2 linked regions of the Bombyx mori genome follow. The protein of the gene in region 1 purifies or fractionates together with the protein of each later gene. This does not show direct contact. Links are inferred from orthologs where the notes say so. Each region holds a gene or a part of one and is shown on either strand. Other genes may lie near its edges.

The links.
Region 2: the proteins of dynamin-1-like protein (region 1) and VIG purify together in Homo sapiens (affinity purification with mass spectrometry; 3 studies listed by BioGRID and IntAct, with this or other methods). This does not show direct contact. The link is inferred for Bombyx mori from reciprocal best matches to the Homo sapiens genes DNM1L and SERBP1.

Annotation. Positions count from the first base shown.
Region 1 is NC_085119.1:10,597,074-10,600,910, forward strand, and holds part of dynamin-1-like protein, read right to left. Parts: intron 3,665-3,837; coding exon 3,519-3,664; intron 2,943-3,518; coding exon 2,799-2,942; intron 1,561-2,798; coding exon 1,387-1,560; intron 270-1,386; coding exon 198-269; intron 1-197. UniProt on the Homo sapiens protein: Functions in mitochondrial and peroxisomal division.
Region 2 is NC_085116.1:3,010,953-3,014,042, forward strand, and holds VIG (plasminogen activator inhibitor 1 RNA-binding protein-like), read left to right. Parts: upstream 1-1,150; coding exon 1,151-2,320; 3' UTR 2,321-2,420; downstream 2,421-3,090. UniProt on the Homo sapiens protein: Ribosome-binding protein that promotes ribosome hibernation, a process during which ribosomes are stabilized in an inactive state and preserved from proteasomal degradation.

The sequences.
Region 1 (3,837 bases):
AAATGACTAATCAAATATTCCGATTGTTTCTACTGACAATCGCTCATAGGTCGACTTCACTGTGATCATGAAAAAGAGTCCATACAGTATTCAAATGGCACGACATCGAACGTCACAACACAAGTTTAGTAGGACAATGAATCGAGAATGAGTGAGGCGAGTTAATGGCGACCCGAATATAACCACGCCACAATTACCTTGTACGCGTCCAATACGCTTGCCAAGAATACTAGGGCGGACCCTCTTTCACCCATTTGTCGGAGAAACAGCTACAAAAATTTCGAGATAGTAATTTATATAACCTTAACATATCGTTTAGATGAGGGCCGTCCAAATTACATACCTTTGCGGGCTAATTAAATTTACTAAAAAAGCTGGAAGGGGCCGCAGAAAAAAATATTTTCAAAAACAAAATACTTTCCAGACTAAAATATTAAAAAAAAAATTATGTAAAAGATAACTTCACTTTTAAATGATGTCATGGGAATGGTATGTTACAAGAATACAGATAAATAATACCAAATAATGATTATATGATTTGACAAAGAATTCTATTGTCCATACTATTTATATTCAAAACTATTTTCTGATTAAAACATGCGTCGCGGGCCGCATGATAACAAGTCGTTTTCTGGACAGTTCTGGTTTAGATAATACACATTATTACTTAACGGCTTGTCATACTACGATTTTTAGTTGCTGTAGGGTAGATTGAAGACTGCAGATAAGGTGTTGTTAACCCAAAGTAATGAAAATTTTCCAAATAAGATATGACCTAAAGGTCTCTGTCACCAGGTCATAAAAAAAAACTGTTGTTAACAAACAAATATATTCAGCTTTTCTTTAGTCCATTTTTGATGTTACCACTCGAATCCAGCGAGTCGAACCGTAATTGGATCTTGTCGGGTAAAGGAAAGTCTTAATAATAGTGCGTTTAATGGGGATAGCCGCAAAAGTTTAAAAAAATGTAATTTAAGATTCGAACCGACACTAAAATTACCGTTAGTCGTTGTTAATACAAACAATTGTGAATAAAACTTACCTGGGTAGATGCATGTTTATGTAAAATTTTCAATGATTTGATGATAAGTTTTTTTTTAAAACAAACAAACACGACATATGCGTATACGGCATATATAAATGATTCTGAATAAAAATATAACGACTCTCGATAGTTTTTGAGTGTATCAGTACTCAGTTTTTGTTTTAAAGATGCAAACAGTGTTTAGTAATATTTTAAGTGAAGTTCCAATTGCATGCTTTGCTTGGTAAAGTTAATATAAAACCTTTTTTTCCTTCTAATTATACGCACACACAGTCACAACACACGTGTAGGCTTAGTATAATTAGTGAAACATCAGACGTGTTCATAATAAGCGGTTTTACTTTGATCAAGTTGGATACCGGTGAGGGAGAAGGCCTGGGAGTCTTGTGTCTATAGACGGGACTGTGGTCGTCGTCGCCGCTCTTCAGCAGGCCGGACACCAGCGCCGCCTCGCGGTGGAAGTCGGGGTGCTTCGTGTTTATGTACGCAAGCTCGATAGCCACCAGGTTCTCCACCTACAACAATAATAATAATAATCATAAAATCATTTATTGCCTTTCACATTCTAAACAAAATAAAATACTAATAAAAGAGAAGAAAAAAAAGAGAAAAAGGCAAAAGGAGATGGCTCAGCTAATGCTGTTCAAGGTCGATAAATCGAACAGCGCTGATTTTCAGTCACCCCCGTTTCCCTTTGGTTCTTTGCGGGAATGAAGGCTAGGTACGTGTGTACAGACTTAAAACATGGTATAAACTAGTATAAAAAAACGAAACAAAAATCAAATTAAATGGTGAACCCGAATACAAAACATACATAAGCACACACAGTAATAACAACCTGTGGGCAGCCTACAACGAAACAACAAAGAAAATAAAATAAAATAAAAGAAAGCGCGATAATACTATGACTATTACTGGCAAGCAGCACAACATTTACACTTGTACATTATTAAAAATAATTTTGATAAATGAAAATTTTCGCAAGCAAGGATTAAACTAGTTACTATAAATACTATAAATTAAATTAGTAAAGTTAGTTAAACAAGATACTATGCGTCAGCTTTTACAACTGGAAACAGATAAAGCTATACGGGTTGTAAAGCGATGGTCTCTGACTGTATGTTCTACGAACCATCAGATAAAATTACAGCTTGTCGCATACTATCATTTTTTGGACATATCTCCCGGCGAGGAAATGACTCCATAGAGCGCTTTGTCGTTCAGGGCAAAGTAAGAGGCACCAGACCGCGTGGAAGGTTGCCCATGCGATCGATCGACAAAGTAAAGTCGGCGGTTGGCGGTTGTTTACATGAGCGTATCAAGCTCACCACAAACCGAGATAAGTGGCGATTGCCCGTGAGGCGCATAACATCTACCCACAGCATTGATACTGAATGACGACAGAATTATTGGTGGTAGGACTTCTTGTAGGTACCACCACTCTGCCTATTTCTGCCGTGAAGCAGTAATGCGTTTCGGTTTGAAGGGTGGGGCAGCCGTTGTAACTATACTTGAGACTTTAGAACTTATATCTGAAGGTGGCTGGCGCATTTACGTTGTAGATGTCTATGGGCTTCAGTAACCACTTAACACCAGGTGGGCTGTGAGCTCGTCCACCCACCAAAGCAATAAAAAATAAATAAATAAAAAGGATATATAGCAGGATATAGGTCGTATCAGGATTGTCTATCATTTTCGTTGGCGCTTTCGATACAATGGTGTATTATGAATGCTGTATAACAAATCGACTTACCATAGAATTGGTCGGAGGCAATCTAGTCCTCAGCAGCTGCGTGACGACGTCGACGATGCGCTGGTGCAGGCGTGGGAAACGTAGCATTTCCTGCTGGACTTCTGTGCCACAGTGCTGAACGATCCTCTGCATTTCTTCGTGTACCTGTGTGTTGAAATAAACGAATATAATGCTTGTTTACAATTGGGTGAAAAGGCATTAGTAAAAAAATATACTATGGCTAATAAATACCATTAATGAAATTTAAGCATAATAGTCATGTAAGTAAATACAGGGTGTGGTAAAAATATACTATGGCTATGAAATTTATTCATAATAATCATGTAAATACAGGGTGTAGTCCTATAACATATACGAAGGGCAGTTCTGGAAATGTTCACGGTAGGTATAAAATTTCAAATGCTCTATCTACTGCTTAATATATAGCACTAAAAGTAAACCTATATAGTAGTGTACAGACAGCAGAATAATTAAATAACGTTCTAGTGGTCAACAACAGCAACATAAAATAATGAGTGTATGATCATGGTATAGCTGTGTAATGACTACTATGAGTCGTTCATTTAAGAATGAAATTTAATTAAATTTTCAAATAAGTAAGCGATATATTACTAATGTATATTAATTTGCCTAATAATAATTATTATTTAATATGTTTGAAATATATTTTTAATTTTAATATTTTGTAAATATTTTTAAGATTATTAACAATAAGCATACCAGTTCAACACAACGTAACGAAGGGTCTTCCAGTCTTCTAATCTGTCGCTTGACCAGAAGCTCAAAAGATACCTCAGGGACGAATAAAGCCGGTCTAGGGCCTGTAGCGTTGCGGATCGCGGTCAAAATGTCCATGCGGGTCAAACCTGGCGACGAATACAATACATAAACTAGAGTGTACACATCGAAAACATTATTTATTCTTATTAAATAGACAGATTCATGGTCTATGGACTCATGTGGTTACTGGACATCATTGACATAACTAAGTGAACGTTCATCCTGAAATTTTATGTGGTAGTTATAATAGTATTGAAAC
Region 2 (3,090 bases), on another chromosome or scaffold:
TAGTTTTTAAATGTAATGCACGGTAATTTGATTCTGAAAGACGGTTTTTTTTTATATTTGTAGCTTGTATATTTGATCTGGTAGCACTGGTATGAACTGTAAATGTAAAGCGTAAAAAACCGGTATTCTTAAATAAAAACCGGTATTTATCGGTATGTATAAAAACCGGTTTTTCTCCGGTTTTCTTCGAACCGGTTTACATCCCTACTACCTATAAATGAAATTAGCAAAGTTACGCTTTCAAGGCTACCAAGGCAAGTACATGATTATTAATAATAGCTTCAAACATTATCAATTTATCGGGAAAACAATTTGTGATGATTTATACATTGTTTGCAAATGCCTGTGGCGTTTAAGAACGCACATTTTTATGATGCGTAAGCCGGAACGCACGAGAGATGGGAAAAAGAATATAGTCTGTGAGACGGGACCTTTTTTACCACCAATTTAAAACGAAAATATAATTTATAATGTGTTTAATAACTAATGTAATATAATTACTTAGAATTGTTTATGCCGCTACAACAATAAAATTTCTATTGTTTCAACTGTGGTGTTAATTACATAAAACACGACTTTACGGCGAAATAAAGAAGGGACTCTATATGGATTCCCATATGCCTATTAGATTGATTATGCCTCCAGTTATCTTGTTAATATGGATGAGACAATTGTACAAATGAGACATACAAACAAAGGTGTATTGAAAAGTTTTTGCCCATTATTTATTTTTAAATTTTTTGTTCTCACAAAAACTAATCGAGGAACAAGCCGAGAATCTGAATCTTTAATTCAGAACGTGCATGGCTGCATGGGTATCAATTAATAACAGTTTAAACTGGAACAATGATTATTAGGTAGTATAAAATAGAAATGAAAAATAGGTATATTATTTGAAACAAATCCTTGATCGTTCGACTATAGTAGAATGTCATTTGTGCCAGTATAGACCATAGACAATTAAAAAGTTTTTCCACCATTTTGTTTCTTTACTCTATTCCTTTTCGTCATATGGCGTAGTAGTTGTTCGAATCGGTCCGCCATATTAAATGAAATCAATAAAATAAGACAAAATGTCGCCTTACTAGTGCGCGGAAAGTAATCCAATAACATCTAAATATTGTGTGATTAAATCATCAAGAGGATCACAATGGAGAATTCCTACGGTGTGGGAGTAGTGAACAGATACGCTCTTTTCTTGGACGATGAGACCGATCCTCTTGATGCGTTAAAAGCGCGAGAGCAGGCGAAGGAGCTCAAAAAGAAGACCAAAGAAGCCGAAAAAGAGAACAAAGGCAAGCCTGAACCCAAGCCCGCTAAAGGCGTAACCGTTCCCACCCGGAAGGGCATTAAGGAAACTCAAAATGTGAAGTCTCAAGACATCAAAAGTGGAGAACAACAGAAGGGTAAGGGACCTGCACGCCCGGTCGATCGTAATGTTGAGCGTCCGCCTCCGCGTCGTCGTGAAGATCGGCCGCAGAACGGTACCGCAGAAAACAAGGAAGGAGCTCCGCGGCCACCGAGACGCGAGTTCGGCGATCGTCGGCCTAACTTCAACGAGCGCCGCAATTTCAACGACAACAACCAGGACGGTGCAGAGCGTCGCGGTCCACCAAGACCACCGCGTGAGCCTCGTGAGGGACCGCGCGGGCCGCGTTCTTTTGACAATAGAGGCAAACGTGAGTTCGACCGAAGATCCGGCTCTGACAAAACCGGTGTGAAATCAGTCGACAAGAGGGAGGGCGCAGGTCCCCACAACTGGGGCACGATCAAGGACGATCTCGACGAGTTGAACAAAACCGGTTCTGAGGGTGAAACTACTGAAGAGAAGGCTCCTGAAGCCGGCGCTGGCGATGGACAAGTGCCTGAAACTGAACGTGCAGTGCCCGCTGAGGAAGAACCGCGTGAGTTGACACTCGATGAATACAAGGCTTTACGCAACGCGCAACGCACCGCTCCGCAGTACAATTTGAGGAAGGCAGGTGAGGGTGAAGACTTGAGCCAGTGGAAAAACCTGGTTCTGTTGGAACGCAAGAAGGAAGGTGACCGTGGTGATGATGAGGAAACTGACGAGGAATACGATCTGGCCGACTATCCACAGCGCGTGGGTCGCCAGAAGCGTTTGTTGGGCATTGAGTTCACATTTAGTGACGGTGCGAGGCGCGGCGGTGTGGGCGGGCGAGGCCGCGGACGGGGCCGGGGTCGCGGACGAGGAGTGCCGCGCGAGGAGCCGCCGGTCGTGGAGGAGCGCCCGGTACAGCGTCACCACGTGACGCCGCCGAAGGTCGACGACAGCAAGGATTTCCCCTCTCTCAGCTAGACTCGCAGTGAGTCTAGATTCTTCTCCCTTTCGAAGCTAGAGTTACAAATTATAATGTATGTACTGTTATTTTTGAAGTAAATATACAATATATTTACAAGAGTGTGTATTGTATTACATTGAAATCAGTCTACGTAGTTATTGGCTCTAAATTTTGTGAGTTGATTATAACTTGCAACGCTGCCTGGGGATTGACATGTTTCTGTGGAAAGGAGTAAAGGGGGAGGATTCGTCTTGTTTAAGTTTTATTTTTTGATACACATACTACTGCTACATACTTATTATTGTGGATTTATAACAATAGCTTTTATTATATTGTAATCACACCAGCTTTTCATTTTACTGGTTGAGTAATCGGTGATAATAAGATTTCAACCTTCAGACTGACGACAAGCTATGGATGAGTTTGAATCTACTCCGTCACAAGTTAGTATAGTATTTTGTGAAGAAATAACCCTTGCATTTTATATCATGAGTTTGTGTTGACAAATGCAGACTGGGAACTGTAAATAGTTATATTTTAAAGATAAGGTCAAAAAGAACAAGGTTAATATTTGTTGTTACACGAACTTCTTGAGTAAATAAACATTTTGTATGTGTGATACATTTCTTGGTTATTTTTAAATTCTTGAGCTGTCCTCTTATCCAAATGCCTCCCCCCTACATTTTAAATTTTGATACTATAATCTTGTGAATGAATATTTTCTTTCGTGGTAAATCATCGAAATTTATATTCATTTAAAACTACAGGATGGGTACAGAAATAGGTC